7 linked regions of the Macaca fascicularis genome follow. The protein of the gene in region 1 interacts with the protein of each later gene in a biochemical or structural test. Links are inferred from orthologs where the notes say so. Each region holds a gene or a part of one and is shown in the gene's direction. Other genes may lie near its edges. The genes, in order: SNTA1, SCN4A, SLC16A7, MAP4, RPS6KA1, KCNA5 and SCN5A.

What was found.
Region 2: the proteins of SNTA1 (region 1) and SCN4A interact in a test that uses a peptide from one of them, tested with the Homo sapiens proteins (2 studies listed by BioGRID and IntAct). The link is inferred for Macaca fascicularis from reciprocal best matches to the Homo sapiens genes SNTA1 and SCN4A.
Region 3: the proteins of SNTA1 (region 1) and SLC16A7 interact in a test that uses a peptide from one of them, tested with the Homo sapiens proteins (3 studies listed by BioGRID and IntAct, with this or other methods). The link is inferred for Macaca fascicularis from reciprocal best matches to the Homo sapiens genes SNTA1 and SLC16A7.
Region 4: the proteins of SNTA1 (region 1) and MAP4 interact in a test that uses a peptide from one of them, tested with the Homo sapiens proteins (2 studies listed by BioGRID and IntAct). The link is inferred for Macaca fascicularis from reciprocal best matches to the Homo sapiens genes SNTA1 and MAP4.
Region 5: the proteins of SNTA1 (region 1) and RPS6KA1 interact in a test that uses a peptide from one of them, tested with the Homo sapiens proteins (2 studies listed by BioGRID and IntAct, with this or other methods). The link is inferred for Macaca fascicularis from reciprocal best matches to the Homo sapiens genes SNTA1 and RPS6KA1.
Region 6: the proteins of SNTA1 (region 1) and KCNA5 interact in a test that uses a peptide from one of them, tested with the Homo sapiens proteins (2 studies listed by BioGRID and IntAct). The link is inferred for Macaca fascicularis from reciprocal best matches to the Homo sapiens genes SNTA1 and KCNA5.
Region 7: the proteins of SNTA1 (region 1) and SCN5A interact in a test that uses a peptide from one of them, tested with the Homo sapiens proteins (2 studies listed by BioGRID and IntAct). The link is inferred for Macaca fascicularis from reciprocal best matches to the Homo sapiens genes SNTA1 and SCN5A.

Annotation. Positions count from the first base shown.
Region 1 is NC_088384.1:89,451,582-89,455,686, reverse strand, and holds the start of SNTA1 (alpha-1-syntrophin), read left to right. Parts: upstream 1-1,305; 5' UTR 1,306-1,422; coding exon 1,423-1,732; exon of another isoform or gene 1,733-1,864; intron 1,865-4,105. UniProt on the Homo sapiens protein: Adapter protein that binds to and probably organizes the subcellular localization of a variety of membrane proteins. May link various receptors to the actin cytoskeleton and the extracellular matrix via the dystrophin glycoprotein complex.
Region 2 is NC_088390.1:70,572,429-70,575,928, reverse strand, and holds part of SCN4A (sodium channel protein type 4 subunit alpha), read left to right. Parts: intron 1-649; coding exon 650-982; intron 983-2,471; coding exon 2,472-2,535; intron 2,536-2,773; coding exon 2,774-2,915; intron 2,916-3,500. UniProt on the Homo sapiens protein: Pore-forming subunit of Nav1.4, a voltage-gated sodium (Nav) channel that directly mediates the depolarizing phase of action potentials in excitable membranes.
Region 3 is NC_088385.1:66,480,480-66,484,702, forward strand, and holds the start of SLC16A7 (monocarboxylate transporter 2), read left to right. Parts: upstream 1-1,423; 5' UTR 1,424-1,662; exon of another isoform or gene 1,663-1,973; intron 1,974-2,857; exon of another isoform or gene 2,858-3,017; intron 3,018-4,223. UniProt on the Homo sapiens protein: Proton-coupled monocarboxylate symporter. Catalyzes the rapid transport across the plasma membrane of monocarboxylates such as L-lactate, pyruvate and ketone bodies, acetoacetate, beta-hydroxybutyrate and acetate.
Region 4 is NC_088376.1:111,017,679-111,021,940, reverse strand, and holds the start of MAP4 (microtubule-associated protein 4), read left to right. Parts: upstream 1-1,462; 5' UTR 1,463-1,579; intron 1,580-4,262. UniProt on the Homo sapiens protein: Non-neuronal microtubule-associated protein. Promotes microtubule assembly.
Region 5 is NC_088375.1:208,560,760-208,564,259, reverse strand, and holds part of RPS6KA1 (ribosomal protein S6 kinase alpha-1), read left to right. Parts: intron 1-1,596; coding exon 1,597-1,703; intron 1,704-2,419; coding exon 2,420-2,457; intron 2,458-2,800; coding exon 2,801-2,943; intron 2,944-3,358; coding exon 3,359-3,429; intron 3,430-3,500. UniProt on the Homo sapiens protein: Serine/threonine-protein kinase that acts downstream of ERK (MAPK1/ERK2 and MAPK3/ERK1) signaling and mediates mitogenic and stress-induced activation of the transcription factors CREB1, ETV1/ER81 and NR4A1/NUR77, regulates translation through RPS6 and EIF4B phosphorylation, and mediates cellular proliferation, survival, and differentiation by modulating mTOR signaling and repressing pro-apoptotic function of BAD and DAPK1.
Region 6 is NC_088385.1:5,921,109-5,925,361, forward strand, and holds KCNA5 (potassium voltage-gated channel subfamily A member 5), read left to right. Parts: upstream 1-1,453; 5' UTR 1,454-1,568; coding exon 1,569-3,386; 3' UTR 3,387-4,186; downstream 4,187-4,253. UniProt on the Homo sapiens protein: Voltage-gated potassium channel that mediates transmembrane potassium transport in excitable membranes. Forms tetrameric potassium-selective channels through which potassium ions pass in accordance with their electrochemical gradient.
Region 7 is NC_088376.1:100,616,734-100,620,233, reverse strand, and holds part of SCN5A (sodium channel protein type 5 subunit alpha), read left to right. Parts: intron 1-109; coding exon 110-251; intron 252-928; coding exon of another isoform or gene 929-932; coding exon 933-1,033; intron 1,034-2,109; coding exon 2,110-2,380; intron 2,381-3,500. UniProt on the Homo sapiens protein: Pore-forming subunit of Nav1.5, a voltage-gated sodium (Nav) channel that directly mediates the depolarizing phase of action potentials in excitable membranes.

The DNA of each region.
Region 1 (4,105 bases):
CTCAGTTGTGATTACAGGTGTGAGCCACTGTGCCCAGCTGGGGGTGCTCTTAGCTACTCCAGGAGGCTAATGTAAAGATGAGATAACACATGGAAAATACTCTGCTAGCCCTAGCTAAGAGTAAACAGTCACTAAACGAAAGTGATTATAGCATAGAGTCACAGTTTACCACGTGTTTTCACATTGATTTAATCCTCACACCAGCCCAGTGAAGTAGGTATTATTATGATCCACATTTTACAGATGAGGAAATTGAGGCCTAGAGCAGTAACGTGAGGGGACCAAGGTCGACTTGGAGCTAACACAGGCAGCAAGGATTAGAAACCAGGTCTCCAGAGGCCCAGACCCAGAGCCCCACCTTGCAGCCTTCCCCCACACTAGGAGTTCTGGGTTTTTCTGCCAGGCCTCAAAGTGTGGGACTTCAGGCTTTTCTATACTTGACTGCGAACACAGCCAGGGATTAATCTCTTAAACTTCCCTCCAGTTTTGAAGTGGGGATCCTGCCCACCCCCTCCCCAAGCCCTAAGTGGAGTCGGCAGCTCTCTCCTCCGGGGGCGGGGCCTGTCCCCTTTAGAAGCCACGCCAACGATAAGCCACGCCCACAGACCAAAGCCTCGACCACCTGATGGGAAACCAGCTTCTTCCTCAGCTCCCCAACTAGTAACTCTGCCTGCAAGGTCTCTCGCGGCTCAGCGTCCACCTTTCTGTTTTTTTGACACAGGGTTTCGCTCTGTCACCCAGGCTGGAGTGCAGTGGCGCGATCGCGGCTTACTGCAGCCTCGAGCCCCTGGGCTGTCATCTAGGCCTCCCAAGGTGTTGGGATTACAGGCGTGAGCAACCACGCCTGGCCGGTGTCTACCTCTTAAACTCAAGCCCTGGAGCCCAGACCACCATACGCAGCCCAGTCCTCCGCCATATGCAGCCCAGCCCGTTGCCCAGTGCTTCGCACCAGGATACGTGGTTCTGTTTTTTTTTCATGCGCTCCCACGTCCGGGAGCTACAGTCCCGGCCCTCGATGGACATGCCGAGCGCAGAGCCCACTGCGCGGGCTGATTGGGTTCCGCCCACGACGCGAAGCCCCGCCCCCCGACGCCCAGCCCAGCACCGCGCCTCCCGGGCTTTTCGCCTTGCCTAGTGGTCCCGCCACGCCGCCCTTCTGACTCGCCCCCTAGGTAGTCTCACACTGCGGCCCTCGGCTCCCGGGCCCCGCCCCGGCCTCCCGCATTTGCCCGAGGCCCAGTCCCCAGCACTGGTCACACCCCCGGGTAGCCCCGCCCCTAGATCGCCTCCCCCAGCGGCCCGGGTAGGGTGGCGGCTGGCCCAGCGGGGCCCCCGCTGCCCTCTGCCCTGGGAGCTTGGTCGGAGCGGGCTGGGCACGGCGGGACAGGGCAAGCGCGGCGTCCCGGGGTCTCGGAGGCGAAGATGGCGTCCGGCAGGCGCGCCCCGCGCACCGGGCTGCTGGAGCTGCGCGCCGGGGCGGGCTCGGGGACCGGCGGCGAGCGGTGGCAGCGGGTGCTGCTGAGTCTGGCGGAGGACGTGCTGACCGTGAGCCCCGCCGACGGCGACCCTGGTCCCGAGTCCGGCGCTCCGCGGGAGCCGGAGCCCGCGCAGCTCAACGGCGCCGCAGAGCCGGGCGCGAGGGCCCCGCAGCTGCCAGAGGCGCTACTGCTCCAGCGGCGCCGCGTGACGGTGCGCAAGGCCGACGCCGGTGGGCTGGGCATCAGCATCAAAGGTGGGCGCGGGACACCGAGGGCGCGGGGTCGTGGTGTCTGGGGGCCGCCGAGGGAGCAAGGGACTGGCAGCGCGCCCAGGACATGGAGCTGGAGGCCTCCTGTCCGGGGGTAAGGGAGGTCTGAGGAAACAGGTAACGGAGGGCACTGGGCGCACCAAGGTCGGAGTGGGTTTCGGTAGTTGGTGGCCTTAGGGGGCACGGAAGACACAGGTGTGGAGGAGATTGTGGGAGCACCAAGGACACGTGGGTGGGAGTTCTGTGTGGAGGCGTGGGGATCTGAGAGGCAACCAGCATGAACATCAAGGACAAGAGGGGTCCCCCGGAAAGCAGAGGGTGGAGAAAGGGGGTTGAGGCCGGGATACTAGTGGGACAGGGAAGAGGGAGTCCCTGAGAAGCAACCAAGGTGGGTACAGAGGGGAGGCCTGCAGTCTGCGAAGCACAGGGGTGGATAGGAGGCCTGGGTGCAGGCACAGACTGGGGTCACAGGCAGAAGGCCAGCAAGGACCTAGGAATCTAAGGACCCAGGAAGGCTGCGGGGAGCCCTGACAGCTGGATTTGGGTCTCCTGATCTGACCATCTCCACCTTGCACAGGATGGAGCTTTCAGTCCCCAGGACTGACTGCTAGTGGGGTGCAGTTAGGGTGCAACCAGACTGTGTTTGAATCGAGGATCAGCTGTGTGAGGTTGCAAAAGTCCCGTCCCGTCTCTGAATCTCAGTTGCCTCAATTGTATAAGAGGATGATAGAGTTGTGATGTTTCTGAGAGCAGGGCTCACCACACCAGCACATTGTAGGTGCCTTAGTTAATTACTGCTGTTAGCGGAGAGGAAAAATGGAGGCCAGGAGATACTCCCAAAGCAGCTAAACATAGTTCTCAAAATCCTTGCACACCCCCAGCTGCTGGGTTCACTATGCTTGCCCATCGGCTTCTCAGGATCCCAGCCCCTAGCAGGGTGCTTTGGGAAAGGGTGTCAGCCTTTGTTTCCACCTTGAATATGTACCGTACCCTCTGGGGTCTCCCTGGTACTGGTTCTGTTGATGAGTGCCTCCAGACTGTTTGGCTTGGCTGAGGTGGTGTAGATAGTGGTGAATGCCACCACTGTGTGCCAGGTGCTGTGCCCAGGACACTAGTCTCATGATCCACTTCATCCTGGCAACAAGTGGTGAAAGGTAGGGAGTATAATCCCCATATTGCAGATGAAGAAACTGAGACTCAGAAAGGTAAAATGATTTTCCCACCATTACACAGTGAGTGTCAGCGCTGGGATTTGAACCTTAGTTATCAGCTACTGTCCCCCAGAGAGTGCTCAGGGAAGTTGATTCTTTTCCTGTAGAAGGGCAGATCCCGAGGCACCCAACCAAGAGAGGCTAAAAAGGGGAAATGGGAAAATGAGGGTATGGGCACCAGTCTTACCCTCAATCTCCAGCATGGGATAGGGCAACAGACCAATCCAAAAATTATACACTCAGTGTGTCAGAGCAGGAAGGAACTTATTCATACAGAGTTCCATTCTGCAGATGGACGCACTGAGACTCAGGAGCAGGGACTTTCCAGGGTCACACAAAGTTACTCCCCAGCTCCATACTTCTAGGTGGAGGGGAAGGTACTTTTAGTAGACTTCAGGTATTTCCACTGGATCCAAATCTGGGCTCCTGTTGCCATGGTAACCCCTCCTATAGAGTCTAGCTTAGTCTGAGGCAGCCATGAGTGATCATAGCTTCAAACTGAACTGAAGCCCCTAGTTTCAGGTGGGGGAGGGCAGATATAAATAGAAACCCCTTCCTCTCCTAGACTTCAAGCTCTGTGCAGATAAGCAAACGGTGGGGCCTGCGTGGGTGTCAAGAGAGGTGTTCCAGTCCCAGCTCCGCCAGCAGCTTGTGTGACCTTGGAACAATGACCTCCCACTCTGGGACACTAATTCTTCATCTTCAGTATTCTGGGGATGAGCCAGGAGTGTGATATCTGAGGGCCTGACTTGCCGTCTGTGGTAGGGTTAATAGTGTTGGTTCTTGAGCCTGGAGGCCTAGGTGCAAATACTGGCTTGCTTTGCTACTTACTAGTTGAGTGACCTTGGACAAGGGGCTTCCCTCCACACTTCAGTGTCTGTAATAGGAAACTGAGCATGCCTACGTGATGGGATATTGTAAAGACGCAATGTTGGCATTTGGTACATGCAACTAAGGTGACCTATTATTACTATTTCTTATTTTAAAAGGGCATTTAAGAGTTTGGTAATAAAGCCGTTTAGTAAAATGTATTAGCTTCTTTTGTATCCAAGATGCCATTCAGGTAGGTTTTTAGAATCGCTAGACTCTAAGGCTTTGGTTTCCAACCTGGATTTTGGATTGTAAAACATTATGATTGCTAAAGCAG
Region 2 (3,500 bases), on another chromosome or scaffold:
CTGGGTGTGGTGGCACACACCTGTAATCCCAGCTACTTGGGAGGCTGAGGCAGGAGAATCACTTGAACCCAGGAGGCAGAGATTGCAGTGAGCCAAGATCGTGCCACTGCATTCCAGCCTGGGTAACAGAACGAGACTCTGTCTCTAACTAAATAAATAAACACAAATAAAGGTTTTGTTTATTTCTGCAGGACTTTTCAGAACCTTTGATAGGATCATCTACATAATGACTCTCCAAGAGCAGAATCTAGAGCGCAGCTTTTCCCAAACATTATCAACCCCCTGCTTTTTAAGGGTGCAGCATGGGAGATTAGTGTTCTGTTGAACACACTTTGAGAGCGTTAACCTAGTGACATGTATTAAGCTCCACTCTATGCCTTTGTTTGCTCTATAGGTCAGGCAACAGCCCATTAGGTCTTTATAGTTCCTTCTCCTAGTGGCTGAGCATCTGTGGCCATTTGAAGGCTCCAGATTGAGGATGTGATCAGAGAAGGGTGGGGTTAATTTCAGAAGGCTTCAGGGAAGTAGTGGTGCTCAGTAAGTCAAGCCTTGAAGATGGAGTAGGAAAAAGCTTGGTGGTGGAGGCTGGGGGGCTCTGTTATCACCCTGCACTGCCCCCTGCCATTATCCTTGCCCTCTCTGCGGTCAGGGCTAAAGACGATTGTGGGGGCCCTGATCCAGTCGGTGAAAAAGCTGTCAGATGTGATGATCCTCACTGTCTTCTGCCTGAGCGTCTTTGCGCTGGTGGGACTGCAGCTCTTCATGGGAAACCTGAGGCAGAAGTGTGTGCGCTGGCCCCCGCCGTTCAACGACACCAACACCACGTGGTACAGTAATGACACGTGGTACGGCAATGACACATGGTATGGCAATGAGATGTGGTATGGCAATGACTCATGGTATGCCAACGACACGTGGAACAGCCATGCAAGCTGGGCCACCAACGATACCTTTGACTGGGACGCCTACATCAATGATGAAGGTAAGAATGGAAGGTGGACAGGCAAAGGGGATCCTGTCCCAGTCCCTAGGGTACCCTCTGTTCCCACATTTTCTTTCTTTTTTTTTTTTTTGAGACAGAGTCTCACTCCGTCACCCAGGCTGGAGTGCAATGGCGCCATCTCAGCTCGCTGCAACCTCCACCTCCTGGCTTCAAGCGATTCTCCTGCCTCGGCCTCCCAAGTAGCTAGGATTACAGGCATGTGCCACCAGGCCCAGCTAATTTTTTAATTTTTAGTAAAGATAGGGTTATATCATGTTGGCTAGGCTGGTCTCGAACTCCTGACCTCGTGTGATCCTCCCACCTCAGCCTCCCAAAGTGCTGGGATTACAGACGTGAGCCACCGCACCCCACCCTGCCTTCACTTCTTAACGAGACAAATAGGCTGGCGAGGACCTGAGCTTAAATCCAGCACTTCGCAGCCTGTGTCACCTCTGACTAGTCACTTGATCTCCCTAGCCCTCTGAATCCTCACCTATAAAATCAAGATAACAATCCCTTCCTCAAAGGGTTAGTGCAACAACAAATGGCAAACTGTTTTAAAAACCCTAAAGTGCCAGGCATGGTGGTTCATGCCTGTAATCCCAGCACTTTGGGAGGGCGAGGCAGGCAGATCACCTGAGGTCAGGAGTTCCAGATCAGCCTGACCAACGTGGTGAAACTCCGTCTCTACCAAAAATACAAAAATTAGCTGGGCATAGTGCCTGTAATCCCAGCTACTCGGGAGGCTGAGGCAGGAGAATAGCTTGGAACCTGGCAGACGGAGGTTGCAGTGAACCGAGATCACGCCATTGCACTCCAGCCTGGGCAACAAGAGTGAAACTCGGTCTCAAAAAAAAAAAAGAAGAAAGAAAAGAAAAAGAAAAATCCTGAAACTCTCACTATACAAAGCAAGTCTATAGTTCCTACTCCCTAACCTGTGCACCCCCTGTCCTCCTTCATCACACCACATGCTCACACCCTGGCAGGGTCACCGTCACATACCCACACACCCACATCCTATTCACATATGCATCTTCACAGGCACACATGCCAGAAACACACACTTTCTCACACAGCCACTGTTAGTCTACATAGTGCCTTCTTGCAGATTAGGAAAAGATACCCCTTCTCACCCTGGCACCTGGATTCCAGCCCCCACACACCCTTCACTCAGGTGCCCTGCAAAGGTACACAGTAGCCCCATGCACACATGTACACGTTCCCTGTCTGTGCTGCTGCTGCGTTCTGACTTTTCGCCCACACTGGGCACTGGGCTGACAGTGCTTGCAGCTGAGCTCCCTGCCAAGTCCCTACCCAGAGACCTTGGAACTTGGAGCTGTCCTTAAAGGATGGGGAAGAGGCAGCCAGGGAACATCCATTTGGTTTATGTGGTACACGCAGACCTGTCCACAGGTGTGCAATGGGCTCAGGTGCTCACACTGTGTCCATGTGGGTGACTTGCCTCCTCTGTGGCCTCTGACTCCCAAAGGGAACTTCTACTTCCTGGAGGGCTCCAGCGATGCCCTACTCTGTGGGAACAGCAGTGATGCTGGGTGAGTGATGCTAAGGGATGCAGAAAATGCGCCCCAGGGGTCTTGGAAGGTGGGAGCTGATTGAGACAAGGACCTGGGGTGGATGGGAGTGCAGGGAAACCTATGGGTATGGATGGAATACTTTTCTGTTTGGGGGACACAGGCAGAACTGACAGATTTTCTTTCCCTTGGGGCCCCCATCTGTCCCCAGCTGGAGTGCTCCTCCCACCCTAAACCTAGCCCCCTGTCCTATCCCTAGGCACTGCCCCGAGGGTTATGAGTGCATCAAGACCGGGCGGAACCCCAACTATGGCTACACCAGCTACGACACCTTCAGCTGGGCCTTCCTGGCTCTCTTCCGCCTCATGACACAGGACTATTGGGAGAACCTCTTCCAGCTGGTACAACTGCCCCAACCCTGCCTCCCAACCCTACAGCCACTCCCCCCCCATCCCTGCAGCCTCTTCAGTGCCTGATGGGGCCTACCGCAGGATGGCCAACCCCTCAACTGGGCCATCTCCTCATGGACTCCCACAGTGCCTTTATAGGAGCTTGCGCTCTCTGAAACTGGACACCTGCTCCGAGCCAAGCCATGGCTTTAATTTTTTCCACACCTTGGTTTTCAGAGACGAGGTCTGGGCCTAGCACAGGCACAAGCCCAGGAACCCTTAGGCCTCACAAGAATCAGTAGGGCAGCTTAGAAATTCAGTGCTGCCTGCCAGGCGCGGGGGCTCACGCCTGAATCCCAGCATTTGGGGAGGCGGAGGTGGATCACGAGGTCAGGAGTTCGAGACCAGCCTGGCCAACATAGTGAAACCCCCGTCTCTACTAAAAATACAAAAATGAGCTGAGTATGGTGGCACGCACCTATGGTCCCAGCTCCTCAGGAGGCTGAGCAGGGAGAATTGCTTGAACCCGGGAGGTGGAGGTGGCAGTGAGCTGAGACCATGCCACTGCACTCCAGCCTGGGTGACAGAGTGAGACTC
Region 3 (4,223 bases), on another chromosome or scaffold:
AATAGCAAACACTCAAGAATATGACCTTGAAATGTGCCTTCATGTTGTTTCTTTGAAATGTTTAACTTTTTTGTAATTAAATGAAGTATTTAGAGTCACTGCTAGACATTCCATCATTATCAAAATGCCTATTATGTCTTACACAAACGTCTATTTAAGCATTTTTAGCTTAAAAATATAAAATCCTTTCTGTAATTTTCTGCCTTTTTTTTCAGTTTCAAATATCATTCTTTCAATAAAATTATCTTCCAATAATTTTGAAGTTATTAATCACCATTATTTATTCACCTTATATTATGCCTACCAGCCACTTCATGTATATTATTTCACTTAAATCTTATGAAATCAACCCAAGATTGATATTACTTTTATTTCATAGCTACAGAAATTGAAATTCAAATTTTGTCCATTACAACAGACTAGCTGCGGCAAAAGACAGTGTGAATTTACCCAAATGACTTAACTATCTTTTTATAAATTTGTAAAATGTGAAGAATCATAGAACACATCTTAAAAGGATTATTGTGAAATCAAGGAGGAGAAAGCTAGTTAAACTGGTAGACAAACTGCAATAGGACTTGTCAAGTCAAAACCTACAATTATTCTTTTGGATAGTTTCTTTTTCTCTAAAGTGGCAATTTAACTTAAAGTTATTAAAGAAACTCAATCTTTGGGGTAGGTTAAACGTTCTCTTCCAGCCCTTCCTCTTTCCAACTTTCCCAAGAAGCATATTTTAGACAGAGGAAGAGACCAAACCAATGACTGCACAATTACCATTATCTCTAGCACTATTCGTTGTCAAATAACTAAATGCTGGTTTGAAGAACTAAATAATTGGAGAAACCAAAAATGAAAGGAATTACTTATAAATGATTTGAAAAAAAAAAAAAAATCCTTATTTTTAATGTCTTTTGGTGCTGTTTTCCATACCCTTCCTCCTATGGTGTCAATTTTATTTTTTTCTGTAAAGTGATTTGGTTAGTGAGTCTAATCTCCAACAGTGCACTACCTCCTTCTCCCAAAAAGGCCTCAGTTGAAAAATGGCTCAACACTTTCACTGCAAGTTCACAGTGAGGATCTCCTATTCTCCCTGCATTCGGCCAGACTCTTCTCTTTTTGCATGCTTTCCTCTCCCATGCATGGGTTACACAACTCTCTGGAATATCTAGACAGAGCTACCCCACACCTGACTCCTAGGTCAGGCTACAGAGTACTTCGGATACAGCAAGTCACGACCCATCTGAAACGACAGATCTACCTGCCTTTTGGCTTTCTTCCTTGGTCAAAACTAAAATCCGAAGTGGAGTGCCCCGAGCGATAGAGAAATTGCCTATAGCTTTGACAGCCGCTTGGAGCATGCTCAGTCGGTCTCCAGGCACCGGGAGGCGGCTCCCCCCCACCACCCCCCGGGCCGGCCTCCACCGCAGTCTGTCCGGCCCCCACCCCCGGCGCGCGCTCCTCCGCACCCACACGGGCGTTCAGCAGCCGCGCCTCCCCTTCCCGCCGCCGCCTCCTTTTCCGCTGGCTGTGGCGGGCGAGGACACGTCAGGGGCCATAAATAAATAAATAATTCCATTCACCCGTTGACAGCAAGGCGAACCGGCTGCGGCTTGCGGGGAACAGAGAGCTGCAGCGCCCACCCTGCGCCAGAGACCAGATAAAGTAAGTACAGCTGGGGAGGGAGGGGGGCGGAGGAGGAGGACGAGGAGGCGGCGCAGGCGAAGAGGAGCGAAAGCCCGCGTCTGCGACCCGAGCTGCCCGCGGAGCCGCACGCGTGTGTGCAAATAATGGCCAGCCTGTGACAAACGTGCCAACGCAGAGTTGGCCAGCGAGCCCTTATATAGACAAAAAACCCCGAAGCGGCCGCGGGAGGAGAGCTCGCGTCAGCCAGTGAGCGCCGACAGCGGCCCGGGAGCTGCTGGGGGTGTGCGGGGTCCCGGGCAAGGAACGCCCCGCGTGCTTTCGGCCAGGAGGTACCCACGCTCTAGGCTTTTACACCTAGACTCAGCGTGGCGCGGTGCACCCCAGTCTCCCTGGCTCACGAGACTCGGAGGGCTGCTTGCGTGCGGCGTGTCTCTAGTGCGCGCCCTGCCAGCATCCGGCCCCCGAACCCCCTAGGGTAGCGTGGCTTCATTGCTGCACAAGGTGGAGGTGGGGGTGGTGAGGGTGTGTGTAGGGAACGTCTTCTCTTTGAGCAGATGATCAGGACAGGAAGAGGCTGCGAGGGGAAGACGAAATACCGGGGGATTGGGGCGTGGGGGTTGTCTTTCTTCATTTTTGGTCCCCAGGAAGGATGGCAGGGGTGGAAGCAGATGGAAAAGTGTATGCGGGCGAGGCCTGAGCCCAGGCAGAAAGGGAGCGCTGACTTGGCAAGGGTTCAGGAGGGCCTGTGCCTGCTGGGCTTCCTGAGCTACTGCACCACACTGGGGGCACTAGGCCCGGTCAGGTGGCGCCACAGGCTGCGAGCCCGCTCACGTGCGAGCCCGCTCACGTGCGAACTGTTTTCCCAACGGATGCTGCATGGCAGCTCCCTTCTCTACCCGCTTTTCTCCTCTACTTCCGCGAAAACGATTGCAGACTGCCTTGGAAAGGGCGGTCGTGCCCAATACCACTTTCCCGGTAGGGCTGAGGAGGGACTTTTGTAGTTCCAATTCCAGGGAAATTAAAATTTTACACACACTCACACTCACACACACGAGAGACATAGAAGAGGAAATGAGGAGTGGTTTCTCTATAATTGTTTTTTGATTGCCTTTCCCGGAGAAATAAGTAGGACTAGGCTGCGTTGCGTTAGGGCTGGTTAGTGGCATTAGGACAGCTGTTATTTCATGTCCTTCTTCCCTCTTGGGTCCCAAAGGAGACACAGCAGAAGAATAAAATAGCGGGCAGTGATGAAGGTGATGTGAAAAAGACTGGACCAGAGGAAGGAGTGACTACTGGATGCCATTTCCTGTCACCCCATGCTTCATGGCTAACCCCAGTCTGAACTCAGAGGGTTGCCAACTTTCCACAGACAGGTTAGCTTGAATGTGTTGTGTCACTGGAACCACAAGCACTAAGTATGCATTTGGTGGAGTGTGGCTGAAAAATGAGAGTTGGGTGGGGACTGGAGAGGGCAAATGAGGGTTGAGCAAAGTGACTAATATTTAGCCCCGGTGAAGCAATCCTAACTCCAGCTTCTACTTCTAACTGAGCACATTACATTTAAAGCAATCCAAGTGAGGGACTGAATGATCTCAGTGGAAAGGAAAGATTATAACCATAAGAAACTCAGTGTATTGTGTAACAACTTACAAAGTCAGAAACTATTTTTTGTAAATACATCAACAGTTTGCAGTTACATATTACATTTTTTCCCCCAAGGCATGTTTTAATATTAAGTGATCTGAAATTTTAACACCTGTTTCCCAAAGTTCAAATTAGTGTATCCTTCTATAAATGCTCAGTTTATTTCTAGACATTCATTTGCTCTTTGATAATGTCTGGCTTATATTTTTGGCTTTGAGCTCTTTTAAAGGGAAGGAGAGAAACATTACCTAAAGAAACCTCCCTTGTCTAGAGTCATATTCCTGGATCATGGATCTGAAATAAAAGGCATCTCCAGAATTTGATTTTAATTCTGTATTCATTCACCAAACATTTTTGAGACATTCACATGGAAAAAGGGAATTAACTTTAGAACAGATTGGTTCTGCACTTTTGTAAGGTTGAGTAGTTGTTTAACAATCAGGGCTTTACCTTTTTCTTATCTATAAAATGAGATTGGTGGTACCCACTTTGAAATGCTATTGGGAAGAATAAAGTGTGTGGTAAACACCTAGAATTTAGACAGGCTATATTTGAGCTCCTATAATCAGTCTAGACACCCTACCAGGGTTACCAAGATGAATGAGGCTGGAATTCTGTTCTCAAGAAGTTCTCATATAGGCAGTCATCCAGGTTAATCTTTTCTTGTATCCCATTTGCCTTTTAGTGCCCCCCTTTTTTTTTCTCCTCTTGATGGAAGAAACATATATCCCAAATAACTTGAAAGGAACTCCGCAGTTGTAAGAGATGTTGGTAAGATCTGCTAAAAGGCAAATTTGAGAAGAGTGTCTTTTCTCAGGAACCTGTATTCAGCCCGTTTTTTGTTCATTAATAGTGATCCTTAATGAATAAAAACAGGTAATGAAGGATTTTTCTTCATGTTAGGAGGGGAGGATGATCCTTCTCTGAAGACTATC
Region 4 (4,262 bases), on another chromosome or scaffold:
ATTACACAATTGACTATTCCTCTACCTGCTCCTTTTCTCTTGTTCCCTCCAGCCCACTTTTCCCTTTTAAATACTGAATCCCTCAAATTTATCTTTGGAGAAAGGCAGAGATCACAGACTGTTTCTGTGATTCTGTTTTTTTCTTCCGGGAAAGTCCTTAACCTTGGCAAAATAAATTTCTAAATTGATTGAGACCTGTCTCACTTTTTGGTTTACAGAAAGAATGGAGGATTCCAACACTTTTCAGTTTTCCTAGCCATCTAACTACAAAGGAGCTCAAAGCCAATTCTATTCCTGAAGTCTGGTACAGGAATATGCTGACTACTCCAGCAATCAGGAAGAATGATCAAAGTAACTTTAAAGCTCCCACCTGTGTGTTTTCTTACGACAGTAAGTTAAGGATTCCACAAAATCTGGGGCTTTGGGATGAAGTAATGTTAATTGCAGTAGAAAAGGAAACTTTTTTTTTTTCATTTGAGACAGGGTCTCACTGTGTTGCCCAGGCTGGAGTGCAGTGGCACCATCTCAGCTCACTGCGACTCCGCCTCCCGGGTTCAAGCAATTCTCCTGCTTCAGCCTCCCAAGTAGCTGGGATTACAGGCACTTGCCATCATTCCTGGATAATTTTTGTATTTTCAGTAGAGGCAGGGTTTCGCCATGTTGGTCAGAGTGGTCTCGAACTCCTGACCTCAAGTGACCCACCGCCTCGGCCTCCCAGAGTGCTGGGATTACAAGCGTGAGCCACCGCGCCCGGCCTCAATATTTCTTATTTAACCAAATATATCCCAACTGTCATCAATTTTGTTATAATTAATTATCCCACTTGTAACCATTTTAAAAAAACACATATTTTTTGGTACTAAGTCTAGGAAATCTGGTGTGTGTGTACTGTACACACACTTACAGCACATCTCAACTTGGGCCAGCCACGTTTCAGAGTTCACTAGCCACATGCGGCTCCAGGAAGCGGAGCCCTGCAGAGGACCTGTGGCGTCCTACCGCTTCACTAAAAGTTCCTTCCAGAGCTCAGCTGGCCCGCGACCTAGGCTCCGCCCCGCGCCCCTCCCAGGTTACATCACAGAGCCCACAGGCCCCACCCTCTGGTGGCCTGGCCCGCGTGCGCGCCCACTCTCGCACTCTCTCCGCTCCAGGGGCCCAGACTCTGAGAGACAGCGACGGCCATCATAGAACAGCGGAGGCAATCGATCGGCCTGCCGTCAGCTTCGGCATTCGCAAGCCGCAGGTAAGAAGCTTCCCTACAACGGCCCGCGGCTCGCGCAGCTCTGCAGAGAGAGCGTGGCAGCAAGGCCAGCACCCATTGGTCCGCCGTAGCCCTCCGCCCTCCCCCTCGCCACCCTTATTGGCCGGAGCGGCGGCGCCTGCCGGGTAGGCGGTGGCGGCGTCCCTCCCTTGCGCCCGCCCTCAAGAGGGCGACGAGGAAGCGGCCGCCTCCCTGCGCCCCGCCCCTCCGGCTCGCTCGCTGGCTCCCGGCTCCTCCCGACGTCTCCCAGCTCCTCCACGGCTCTTCCCGGCGCTCTCCTGGCTCCCCCCTGCTCCGGCTCCGTCTCGGCGGCGGCGGGTAGGTGCAGCCGCAGGCGGGGTCCCATGGAGGGGCGGCCTCCTCACTGTCCCGGGGCTGCCCGCGCCTTGTCCCGCGGCAGCCCGGTACCCCACGGGGCCCGCCCGAGGCGTGGAAGGGCGGTGGCCGCCGGCCTGCGAGACGCGGGGGCGTCCGAGGGAGGGGGCCAGGCGGGGGGCCGGCGGCCGTGACCTTCGGAGTCTTTGAGGCGCGATCTGGGGGATTCTTGGATTGAGGGGGGCTGAGAGGTCCAGTTTTGAGGGTCGGGGCGGTGGGGCCGAGCGACTTGCCTCGGGCTTTGGATGGGGCTGAGCCGCGGAGCGAGGGTCGGCCACAGTCTGGGACCTTGGGTGGGGTTCGGGGGTGTAGGAGAACTCAGAGGTCGTTTTCTGAGGCTTTATGGGGGTCAGTTGATGTGAGGCTGAATTCAGCCTTAGTGTGTCCAGTTAGGGGTTATGGGTGGGGCTGAAGGGTGGTCTGGAGAACCGGGCCCTAGGCGGGGCTCTTCCCGCATGCAAAGGCCCCAGCACTGTGTGGGGACTAAAGCGTGTGTCTGGCAGTGGGAGTGCGGAGGGGTCGCATTAGGGTGGGGGTGGGGAGGGTACAGGGACTAGGAGGGGCAGTTGGAAACATTACCCAGAACAGAGATTGTGATTTATCACATGGAACAAGTTCTCTGCCCGTGTGAGATCCCTTTGGTGAAATTGTCCTGTGGAAGAGTTGTGAGAGTTTTGCTTACTTCCAGGAACGAGTAAATTAAATTCATTTGCTGTTTTGCGGAGGAGGCAGTGATTGATTACCTTATAGGTTTGTGCTTTAGAACCCAAACTCGGATGAAATACGTGCTTCTCGGGAAGGTTAGTGTTACCCAGCTTTCTACTGGAAACCCCCTTTTCTCCTTTGCCTTCTCTGGTCCTGTTACAGCATTGCTCCCCAGGGCCTCTCAATTCTCTCTCCCTGGCTGCATAGTATTGCAGCGTTTCTTGCTCTGTGTGTGTGTGTGTGTGTGTGTGTGTGCGCGCGCGCGCGCGTCTCCCGCCCATTTCCCTGCTGCTGTGCTTTTGGCAACTGCCTTTGCTCTTTCCCAGGGATGGTTGTGGCATTGCATCAGGGGATATTTGTGCTTGTAATTTGCTCACTCAGCCCAGGAGGAGGGAGAATAGTATGCTGTAGAGATGGGGGGCGGGGGCAGGGTGCCGTCAGCTTGGCTGGGTAGACAGAGAAATGGGTGTGGTGAGGGAATACAGCTGCTCTAGGCCTGTAGGGTAACACTGCCCAGTCATCAGCGCAAAGAGATTCAAAGAGCACCACCAGCAGCTATTTTTATAAATCAATCCTGAATCCAAGCTGAGCACATGGATTTAGAGTGAACAGTTGTCATGCTCTATTACAAGCTGGGTGTTTGGTAGACAACATTAGAGTTGCTAAGCAGGAGACTCCCGTCTGTACTGTGCAGTGTGTACTTTACTTGCAACTTTTAAACTTTACTTTTCTCAACTCCATAGATTGGGACATCTCTCTTCAAACTGTGTCTTTTAAATTGACGTAGTTTGCTGATCTGTACTAGTTCTTTTCAAATGAAATGTATTCACCTCAGTTATACACATCCTTTCAAATTTAGCTTCAAAATAATAAAGCTGTCACTTTTTGAGCACTTGCCATCTCCCAGTCACTAGCTGTATTTATTAACAGATGAGGAGATTGAGACTGATGGGAATAAGGGGTCACACAGATAGTTAAGTGGCAAAAGTAGTATCCAACCAAACCAAGGTCTCTCCAACCCCCACATAGTAGTTCAGAAACTTCAGAATTTTGGTTTACATTGGGATGATTCAAGTGCTTGGAATTTATTCATGCAAAATAACAAACTCACCAGAGACTGATAAACCAGATACTGGTTAATGTATGTTGGAAGCATTAAGTGCCATGTGCACAATTGGATTTAATTATCCACTGACCAGGACACCTCCATTGTTCTGGGCTGCCTAATCAGTAATAAAAAGGTACTTGATTATAGAATTGGAAAGGCACTAGATATTCTTAGTGGGTATTTTTTAAATTTAAATTTTATTTATTTAATTACCTATTTTTGAGACAGGGTCTTGCTCTGTTACCCAGGCTGGACAGTGGCAGGATCTCGGCTCACTGCAGTCTCCACCTCCTGAGTTGAAGCAGTTCTCCTGCCATAGCCTCATGAGTAGCTGGAATTACAGGCATGTGCCACCACACCCGGCTGATTTTTGTATTTTTAGTAGAGACAGAGTTTTGCCATGTTGGCCAGACTGGTCTCAAACTCCTGACCTCAAGTGATCCGCCTGCTTTGGCCTCCCAAAGTGCTGGGGTTACAGGTGCAAGCCACCATGCCCGGCCATTTATTTTTATTTTATTCTATTTTATTTTCTGAGATGGAGTCTCGCTGTGTTATCCAGGCTGGAGTGCGGTGGCATGATCTTGGCTCACTGCAACCTCTGCCTCCCAGTTTCAAGCGATTCTTCTGCCTCAGCCTCCTGAATAGCTGGGATTACAGGTACCCACCACCACGCCTGGCTAATTTGTGTGTGTGTGTTTGTGTGTATATGTGTGTGTGTGTGTGTGTGTATATATGTATATTTTTTTTTTTGAGATGGGGTCTCAGTTGCCCAGGCTGGAGTGCAGTGGCGCTATCTCGGCTCACTGCAACCTC
Region 5 (3,500 bases), on another chromosome or scaffold:
AGAATCGCTTGAACCTGGGAGGCAGAGGTTACAGTGAACCAAGATCGTGCCACTGCACTCCAGCCTAGTGACAGAGCGAGACTCCGTCTCAAAAAATAAAAAAAAAAAAAGATTTGAGCTAGAAAATGGGGTCATTCATACAATTCAGACTTTAAAGAGAATCTAGCCTTTTTTGTTTTTTTTTAATTGTAATTTTTTTTTTTTTTTTTTTTTGAGATGGAGTTTTGCTCTTGTCACCCAAGCTGGAGTGCAATGGCAGGGTCTCAGCTCACTGCAACCTCCGCCTCCCGGATTCAAGCGATTCTCCCGCCTCAGCCTCCCGAGTAGCTGGGATGACAGGTGCATGCCACCATGCCTGGTTAATTTTTGTATTTTTTTTTTTTTTTTTGAGACGGAGTCTGGCTCTGTCACCCAGGCTGGAGTGCAGTGGCTGCGAACTCGGCTCACTGCAAGCTCCGCCTCTCGGGTTTACGCCATTCTCCTGTCTCAGCCTCCCGAGTAGCTGGGACTACAGGCGCCCGCCACCTCGCCCGGCTAGTTTTTTGTATTTTTTAGTAGAGACGGGGTTTCACCGTGTTAGCCAGGATGGTCTCGATCTCCTGACCTCGTGATCCGCCCGTCTCGGCCTCCCAAAGTGCTGGGATTACAGGCTTGAGCCACCGCGCCCGGCCAATTTTTGTATTTTTAGTGGAGATGGGGTTTCGCCATGTTGGCCAGGCTGGCCTTGAACTCCTGACCTCAGGTGATCTGCCTGCCTCAGCCTCCCAAAGTGCTGGCTGGGATTATAGGTGTGAGCCACGGCACCCGGCTTAAATTGTTATTTTCCCGAGTAGCTGGGATGACAGGTTCATGCCACCATGCCTGGTTAATTTTTGTATTTTTAGTAGAGATGGGGTTTCTCCATGTTGGCCAGGCTGGTCTCGAACTCCTGACCTCAGGTGATCCGCCTGCCTCAGCCTCCCAAAGTGCTGGCTGGGATTATAGGCATGAGCCACCGTGCTTGGCTTAAATTGTTATTTTAATGTTTGAATAGGAAATACATTTACATGATTCAAAAGAAAAATATTCACGAAGAAGTCTTACTCCCGCCCCAGCCCCCTCTATCCCCACCCATAAACGTTATTATTGCTTTCTTGTTTAACTTTCCCATGTTTCTTTTGCAAACAAATCTGATATATATTCATTCCTACCCCCACTTCCTTATGTAAAAAGTACTATTCTGTATCCACTGTTCTGTACCTTGCTTTTTTCAAGATAGTACATCTTGGAGCTCACTCCATCTCAGAACATGGAGAAACTCCATGTTCTAGTTTATAGCTGCAAAGCACTCCATTATGCAGGGGATACAACTGATTCCAGCCTTCTACTCTTGGACCCTAGGCCTGTTTCCAACCCCTTCTATTTCCGAACGATGCCACAATGAGTGGTTTGCGTATTAGTCATTTCATACTTTGTATGACAAGAAGGCTATATGGCCTGGCGTCTCCAAGGGTCCTCCCAGGGTGGCCCTTCAGGACCAGGAAGCTGCTGACTGCCCAGTGCCCCAGCTCTTAAGGAAGAGGAGGGCCTGCTGAAGACCCCTCCTGTGTTTTGCAGGTGATGTTCACGGAGGAGGATGTGAAGTTTTACCTGGCCGAGCTAGCTCTGGGCCTGGATCACCTGCACAGCCTGGGTATCATTTACAGAGACCTCAAGCCTGAGAAGTGAGTGAAGCCTCCAGCCCCACCCCTGCCTCCCCAGGGGAGGCCTCTTCTAGGACAGGGCCATCCTGAGGTGGGTGGGCATGGCTTTCTCCAGGAACGTCCTCCTGTCTTGGGCAATCTGAGGAATGGGTGAGTGGGGTGGGTGGTAGTGCCAGCTGCCCAGTCACTAATGCTACCGTTCCTAAGGGCCAGGTACCTTCCATGCAGGTAATGTTGCCCATCTTTTTTTTCTAATCTAGTGTGACATTGGAGAGGCTACCTTTAGAGGTCTTTCCTTGATACAGCCCTGTAGAATTTTCCCTAATATCTAACTACCCTCAAATGATAACTAAGGAGCCAGGGGCAGGTGGTGAGTTGGAATAAGATCTGGGTTTAGCGTTAGGTAGCCTTGTATTCAAATCCTGTCTCCACCTACTAGCTAGACCTACTAGCTTGATGACTGTAGAGCTACTTAACTGCCCTAAGCCTTAGTTTCCCCATTAGCAAAATGGGGCCCTAATAGTACCTGCCTCACACAGTTGCTTCAAGGATTAGCAAAAAAGATAGGCAACATCCCTGCATGGCACTGCTACCACCCTGCAACGCCCACCCTGTCATCAGAGATAACTGGGTGGAGCACCTCCTCTGGGCTGAGCCCAACTCCCACAGCCCTGTGGTGACACCACCACCCCCATGGCCACAGCTGAGGAGCCCTGACCCCTATTCCTCTATTACAGCATCCTTCTGGATGAGGAGGGCCACATCAAACTCACTGGTGAGTGGAGGCCGCCTGTCCCCTTGAGCCCCAGGGGAGGGCAGGGCAAGGTCCTAATAGGTCTCGCTGAGTGCTGGGGCCTCATTCTTCCTGAGAAGCTGTGCCTGTTACTTGGAAGTGTTCAAAAACTCAGGCCTCAGACTTGGAACACCCTCAGTTGGAATCCCAGCCCCTCATTGTGTAACATAGGGCAGGTCACCTGACCTCTCTGGGCCTTAACTTCCTCCTGAGTGTCATGGGGGTGATGGCTTCTGGCCTCTGGGCACGGGGGTTGGGTGTGCAAAGGGTGGCAGCAAGGAAGGCAGGGTTCCTGAGGTGTGTCCTCCTGCCCTCCTTGCTGTAGACTTTGGCCTGAGCAAGGAGGCCATTGACCACGAGAAGAAGGCCTACTCCTTCTGCGGGACAGTGGAGTACATGGCCCCCGAGGTCGTCAACCGCCAGGGCCACTCCCACAGTGCGGATTGGTGGTCCTATGGGGTGTTGATGGTGAGTGCCCAGACAGGGGTAAAGGATCCAGCCCAAGCCTCTGGCCTCAGTCTCCCCATCTGTACAGTGAGGGGGTTGATCATCTCTAGGGCTCTCCCCGTCTCCTCTCACAGCCAAGCTGGCCTCACTCTATCTTCAGCTGTGGTTTTCTTCCTTGGAAGGATCCCAGGCTTGACCCCACCTGGGACACACCTAACCCAGTGCTGGCCTTCTCCCCAGCCTCGCGCCCCCACTGCTGCGCCTGGTGGTCTGGGTTGGCAGAGGCAAGAGGGACGGATGTAATTCTTGCACCAGGAAGACTTGGATGTATCAGCAAGAATCCTGGGACTAGGGCAGAGGGGCCTGGATGGGAGGAGGCGGGAGGTGTGTGGGGGAGACAGGGATCAGAGCCTGAATAGACCCTTGTCCTCTGCAGTTTGAGATGCTGACGGGCTCCCTGCCCTTCCAGGGGAAGGACCGGAAGGAAACCATGACATTGATTCTGAAGTAAGCCCCAGGCCTGCCCTGATAACAATGGACTCCTCCAAGCCCCAGCCCCAGTTTGGGGGTCAGAATAT
Region 6 (4,253 bases), on another chromosome or scaffold:
CACAGGGCAGGGGAAGATTCTCTAGTGTCCCAACCTAGAAAGATTAATATGTTATATCAGCCATCCTCCTGCCTCCTGCAGCAGGGAACTAAAGTTCTCAGGCCAGATGTTGGAGTGAGGGAGTGCTTGTATCAGGAAAAGGGATTATGCATTTCTATAGAGAAGTGAAATACAGGGGACAAGGGCCAAACTCTGATTGTCTGAGTTTGAGTTCCAGCATCATCACTTTCTACTGTGTGAGCCTGGGTGAGTCTGTCAATCTCTCTGTGCCTCAGTTTCTTCGTTTGTAAAATGGTGATGATAACAGTACTTACAAAACAGGTTGCTGTAGGAATACGCAGAGACAATATTTGTGAAGTGCTGAGAATGGGCTGGTGCATAATAACAGCGAAGTAAGTATTGGTTGTTATTATTCCACTCTTGGGATTTCTCCAGCCTTGGAGATTGGACAGCCTCCCTGGCTCCCTCTCATAAGCCACCTCCACCCTCTGCCTCCTTCATGGACCTAGATGCAGTTGTTAGCTCCAAGATTCACCAGACAGGATTAGCCTTCACTAGGATTGTAAAAATCTCTTCTCCCCTCCCCTGGTGTGGTTTTTGCAAATGGGATTCGTTGGAGAGGGTGCAGGGGTTCTGCTGGGTTGAGACCAGACAGCCCATCTACTGACTAGGCTGCTTGCCTGGGCTGCCACTGGGTCCATACTGGAAACAGGCTAGGGCATGCGAATCCTGCAAGGTTCCAACCCTCTAGTACATTTTTGTGGAGCTGCAGGAAGACGAGAAGAGAGATGCTTCTCCATTGATATATGTATTTCAAGGTCCGAAACTACGTGGGCCCCCTCCCTTCTGTAATTCTTCCCAAAGAAATACCGTTATTTCTCCAAAATAAAAAGGACTGGTGTCTCCTGTCTCTGTCTCTCATACTCCGACTCAGCTCAAAGCCTCTTCCCTTTAGCCCAAGGCACTTCGTTCCCCCTGGAGTCCACTCGGCTTCCAGCGGGTTCCCAGGTGAACCGAAATCCAGAGCTATTCTCATCTGGTTGCCCTGGGAATTTCAGCGCTCTCGGTACAACCTGTTCCTCCATCCTCCCCACTCCTTCCCTCCCTCCGCTGGGCTGCACCCCTCTCAGCCCCTCCTTTCCCTTGCTAGGGGCACCAGCTGCGCCCTTCGGGGAGACACTGGCTGCCACAAGACCCGGGAGGGGAAGCGGGAGGAGGGGGAGGGGAAGCAGGAGGAGGGGGAAGGGAGAGGGGAAGGCGGGGGAGGCGCCGAGGGTGGAGGCCAAGCGCAGCGCAGCCAGAGAGGGACGGCTGAAGGTTGCATCTGCTGGAAGGAGGCTTTTCGGCTGCTTGGTAACGGGCTGCCAGAAGAGAGAGAGGCAGAGAGCAGGGCAGCGGCTTCTTGACGTCAGGGCCAAGCGAGGGGATCGCGCCAGCAACCCCAGCTCGCCCCAGAGAGGGGCCGGCCGACCGCGGGAGCGGAGCCTGACGGGAGGTGCCCGGGGAGCGTGAGTAGGGGGCGCGGCAGCAGGTCAGCTGGGGCGCAGCATGCCCGCTGCTCCCGCGCCATGGAGATCGCCCTGGTGCCCCTGGAGAACGGCGGTGCCATGACCGTCAGAGGAGGCGATGAGGCCCGGGCAGGCTGCGGCCAGGCCACAGGGGGAGAGCTCCAGTGTCCCCCGACGGCTGGGCTCAGCGATGGGCCCAAGGAGCCGGCGCCAAAGGGGCGCGGCGCGCAGAGAGACGCGGACCCGGGAGTGCGGCCCTTGCCTCCGCTGCCCAAGGAGCTGCCACAGCCTCGACGGCCGCCTCCCGAGGACGAGGAGGAAGAAGGCGACCCCGGCCTGGGCACGGTGGAGGACCAGGCTCTGGGCACGGCGTCCCTGCACCACCAGCGCGTCCACATCAACATCTCCGGGCTGCGCTTCGAGACGCAGCTGGGCACCCTGGCGCAGTTCCCCAACACCCTCCTGGGCGACCCCGCCAAGCGCCTGCGCTACTTCGACCCCCTGAGGAACGAGTACTTCTTCGACCGCAACCGGCCCAGCTTCGACGGTATCCTCTACTACTACCAGTCGGGGGGCCGCCTGCGGAGGCCGGTCAACGTCTCCCTGGACGTGTTCGCGGACGAGATCCGCTTCTACCAGCTGGGGGACGAGGCCATGGAGCGCTTCCGCGAGGATGAGGGTTTCATTAAAGAAGAGGAGAAGCCCCTGCCCCGCAACGAGTTTCAGCGCCAGGTGTGGCTTATCTTCGAGTATCCGGAGAGCTCTGGGTCCGCGCGGGCCATCGCCATCGTCTCGGTCTTGGTCATCCTCATCTCCATCATCACCTTCTGCTTGGAGACCCTGCCCGAGTTCAGGGATGAACGCGAGCTGCTCCGCCACCCCCCAGCGCCCCACCAGCCTCCCGCGCCCGCCCCTGGGACCAACGGCAGCGGGGTCATGGCCCCGCCCTCTGGCCCTACGGTGGCACCGCTCCTGCCCAGGACCCTGGCCGACCCCTTCTTCATCGTGGAGACCACGTGCGTCATCTGGTTCACCTTCGAGCTGCTCGTGCGCTTCTTCGCCTGCCCCAGCAAGGCAGGGTTCTCCCGGAACATCATGAACATCATCGATGTGGTGGCCATCTTCCCTTACTTCATCACCCTGGGCACCGAGCTGGCAGAGCAACAGCCAGGGGGCGGAGGAGGCAGCCAGAATGGGCAGCAGGCCATGTCCCTGGCCATCCTCAGAGTCATCCGCCTGGTCCGGGTGTTCCGCATCTTCAAGCTCTCCCGCCACTCCAAGGGGCTGCAGATCCTGGGCAAGACCTTGCAGGCCTCCATGAGGGAGCTGGGGTTGCTCATCTTCTTCCTGTTCATCGGGGTCATCCTCTTCTCCAGTGCCGTCTACTTCGCAGAGGCTGACAACCAGGGGACCCATTTCTCTAGCATCCCTGATGCCTTCTGGTGGGCAGTGGTCACCATGACCACTGTGGGCTACGGGGACATGAGGCCCATCACCGTGGGGGGCAAGATCGTGGGCTCGCTGTGTGCCATCGCCGGGGTCCTCACCATTGCCCTGCCTGTGCCCGTCATTGTCTCCAACTTCAACTACTTCTACCACCGGGAGACGGACCACGAGGAGCCGGCAGTCCTTAAGGAAGAGCAGGGCCCTCAGAGCCAGGGGCCGGGGCTGGACAGAGGAGTCCAGCGGAAGGTCCAGGAGTCCAGCGGGAGCAGGGGATCCTTCTGCAAGGCCGGGGGGACCCTGGAGAATGCAGACAGTGCCCGAAGGAGCAGCTGCCCCCTAGAGAAGTGTAACGTCAAGGCCAAGAGCAACGTGGACTTGCGGAGGTCCCTTTATGCCCTCTGCCTGGACACCAGCCGGGAAACAGATTTGTAAAAGGAGATTCAGGCAGACTGGTGGCAGTGGGGTAGGGAATGGAAGGCTTGCTGAACATGGATATTTACATTATACCGCAGAGTATTTGAAGTCACACTGTAACCTCAGTCTACCCCTCTCCTTTCACTCCTTTCCTCCCTCCCTCAATCCCCCCATTTTCTCTCTTCTTTCCATGACACCCAAGGGTCACCTATTTTTAAAAAGTACCACATTCCATGACGCAGGAGCTGTTGAAATGGTAAGCGCTGTGAGATGGATGTATTTGTAGCCAGTCTCCTATACCCCGCAGAGGGATAACCCAAACAAAAATGACTCTAAATAGCCCAGATCCCAAGAGATTACGTAACTCCTCCATCCATGTGTTCCAAATTTGCTTTACATATGATTACATTTGTGTATAGGGGAAAATATTATTTTTATGCCTGGTAAGTGGCTTTTTGTACTGTAGTTTAGATAGAGATATTTTGGATATATTTTCAAGATACATGTTGTATTTATGGAAGAAAGAGTTGCCCTGATGTTTTTCTGTGATACTTATATTAGAGCCAGAGATCTTGGTATGGGCTGTTCTGGTTCCTGTGTCTCCAAGCCTCTGTCTTTTCCGGGATGTGGTATTGGTGCTTTGTGTCTAGGGCAGAGAATGTTCTTGAAGAAAGGCAAATCTGACTTTTTCTGTGCGCCTTAAACAATTCTTGTAACTTTCTTCAAAAAGCATTTGAATGATATTGGAGGAATACTTCTGATAATTTATTCTCTTTATTTTTAATCCCAGGAAATAAAAGGTTACCTTGTTGAGGCAAGTGTTAGTTTTTCTGCAGCTGATATGTTTTCTGACATTTTAAAAAATAGTCTGTCACTGTCTGTTTC
Region 7 (3,500 bases), on another chromosome or scaffold:
ACAGAATGGATGCCCCTAGCCAGCCCTCTGCCTCCACCCCCCACCCCTCCCCATGTGACCCCCGAGACCCCAGCCTGTCTGATCTCCCTGTGTGATTTCTCCCTCACAGTATGAAGAGCAGCCCCAGTGGGAATACAACCTCTACATGTACATCTATTTTGTCATTTTCATCATCTTCGGGTCTTTCTTCACCCTGAACCTCTTTATCGGTGTCATCATTGACAACTTCAACCAACAGAAGAAAAAGATATGTAGAGCACCAGCTCCCCGCTGGGCTGGGCAGAGCAGGGCTGGGTGCCAGGGGATTGAGGGGCCATTCGGGCTCCGGGCCCCATCTCACCTTCCCTGCTGGGGATGGTTCTCTTCTTGCTGCTGCTGGAATGAGGTGGGGAGAAGGGTGTGTCCAGGGATGTAACATGTCTAGGCCTGTAAGAACATAAGAAGGGGCTTTGGTGGGAGGCCCCATGTCTGCCCTAATCCACCTGAGAGATGAGACTCCTGGGAGAAGCTGGTGTGAGAGCTGCATCTGTTCACCTGGTCCATGATCAGAGGTCATGGGTAAAGCCTGTGCAGAGGCCCTGGGTCTTCCCAGAGCTTCATCAGAGCGGCTATAACTGGGTTGTAGACAAACTAAGTGAACAGAGAGAACATGAAGGCTGGTTGAGCTAGGAGGGGGAAAGGGCGGGGGGTGGATACTGGATTTGCAGGTCATAAAGCCAGAGAGATCTCAAGGTGAAAGGGGACAGGGCTCCTGGATAAATAGATTTGGGGAAGAATCTGTGGTGCAAAATAGGGACATATTTTGTCCAGGAGAGGAAGCCAGGAGGTGGTTGACCCTGGCATCCTCATCAAGGAGGCAAGATCCTGGTGCCCTCCATGCTGGGGCCTCTGAGAACCCCAGAATGAGGTTGGTGCCTTCTCTCTGCACTTAGGGGGCCAGGACATCTTCATGACAGAGGAGCAGAAGAAGTACTACAATGCCATGAAGAAGCTGGGCTCCAAGAAGCCCCAGAAGCCCATCCCACGGCCCTTGGTGAGCTAAGCTCCTGGTTCTGTGGGAGTGGGGAGGATCTTCTGGGGTCCCTGGGAAGCTTTCATGCCACACGGCCAGCCATCAGGGCCACCTCACAGTCTTTCAGCCCAGCCTGAGGGACGCTATCAGATGTCTGAGCATGAAGAGAGGTCCCAGCCTCATACAGATAGGGAGGAAGGTATGAGAAGGATGTAGCATCCCGGGACACTCTCCTCCCACAGGAACCCTCTGTCTCTGAGCAGGTCTCCTCCTTCCCCTCAAGGATGCAGGCTTTCCTCGGGAAAAGCAGGGCAGCCTTCACAGCCCCACCCCACCCCACTCAGAGCCTCATCCTTGGACCCCCAGAACAGTCAGGGAGCCGGATTCCTGAGTTAGCTGGTGGGGAGAGCCAAGAGCTCTGGAGAGTGGGGTCCTCTCAAAGACTGACTCCCTTGGCCCAATCAAGCCATTATCCAAAAAAATGTGTGTGTGTGTGTGTGTGTGTGTGTGTGTGTGTGTGTGTGTGTGTGTGTTTGTTTATAATATTTTCTAAGTGGGAGAACAGAAAAAAAAATGTGTATATATATATATATAAAAAATCTTATTTATTTCCCCAAATAATCTGGGCTGATTTACAATTAAAGACACATGTAAATATGGTTAGTACAATAAATAAATTACATTAAAAAGTAGAGAAAATATATTAATCTAAGCACTGACATAATTACTAGGGTTGAAGTTGAAATTTACCCTTGAGCCTTCAGACTGTGGCAACTGAAAGGGAAGCACAGTGAACAGTATGCTAAGGATGCTCAGGGCAGGAAAAATCTCCCCCTGAAGATCCATCATGGAAGTCCTCATGGAAGATGGAGCCTTGGAGCTGGGCCTTGAAGCCCAGGAAGCATTTCAGCAGGAGAGCCAATGGCTTTAACCTCCAGGAGTTTTTCCTCTGCACTCTCTGTGGCAGTGTGGCAGGGGTTTTGGGCTCACTAGAGGGAGAGTGGGAGGGTGGGTGGCCTGGGATGAGAGGCAGAAACGGGCATTTGCCAGCCTCCCAAGGGCCCTGCTGAGCGCTTTCCATTTGCCTCTCCTTTCAGAACAAGTACCAGGGCTTCATATTCGACATTGTGACCAAGCAGGCCTTTGATGTCACCATCATGTTTCTGATCTGCTTGAATATGGTGACCATGATGGTGGAGACAGATGACCAAAGTCCTGAGAAAATCAACATCTTGGCCAAGATCAACCTGCTCTTTGTGGCCATCTTCACAGGCGAGTGTATTGTCAAGCTGGCTGCCCTGCGCCACTATTACTTCACCAACAGCTGGAATATCTTCGACTTCGTGGTTGTCATCCTCTCCATCGTGGGTGGGTATACAAGTCAGCTGGACAGAAGCCCTCCCCAGCCAGGCCTCTCGTCCGGCCCCTGAGTCTCTGCTGAATGCCACGTACAACCCTAGGTTCTTTCATTCTTTTTTCAGTGCATTTCTCACCCCCCTCCCCTCATACATACATGCACACACACACCTCTCCAGAGAGAACTTATCTGGAAGGGTCCACTTGGGTCAAGGAGACCAACCTGGCAGAGGACCCAGCACTCCCTCCTGGCCCCACCCTCCAGAGGACCTGGGAACACAGTTCTCTAACTGCTTAGATAGCTTCAAGGATGAGTCTGGGAATGGGAGTGGGTGCTGTGGAGGCTAGTTCTGCCCGCACTTAGGTTGAAGGAGAAGGAAGCTCACTAAGGATGAGGTGGGTCCCCAAGGATGGGGAGTAGGTGGCCCTCCAGAGTAGAAGTTATCCCTGAAGATGGAAAATTCTGGAGCTAACCGCCAAGGTGTATGCCAGACTCTTTCAGACATACCTGCCTCATGCAATTCACCCAGTCAATTCAGCACTAAAGGAGGGAGATTGTACAGCTAGGGAGAAGCAGAGACCCAATCCTGACCCATGTCTGTTTGACCTCAGAGCTCAGATCTTTTTTTTTATATGACAGCTTTCCTGAGACATAATTCACATGCCATAAAATTCATGGTTAACTTTAAAGTCACTTTAAAGTATACATTTCAGTGTTTTTTAGTATATGCACAGAGCTTTGCAACCATCACCACTATCTAATTTTAGAATATTTTCCTTTCCCCAAAGGAAACTCTACCCATTTAATAGTCACTCCCCATTCATTTCCCCTCTCCCTCAGCCCCTGAAAGCCTCTTATCTAAAATTTTGAGGGACCACCAAACTGTTTTTCAATTTGGCTGCACCTTTTTACATTCTTACTGTCAATGTATGAGGATTCCGATTATTTCGCCCTCACCAACACTTGTTATTGCCTGCATTCTTTTTATGGGAGCCCTCCTAGTGGGTGTGAAGTGATATCTCCTTGAGGTTTTGATTTGCAAAACCAAATGACTGATGACTAACGATGCAGGACATCTTTCCATGTGTGTGTTGGTCATTTATATATCTTCCTTGGAGAAATCTCTATTCA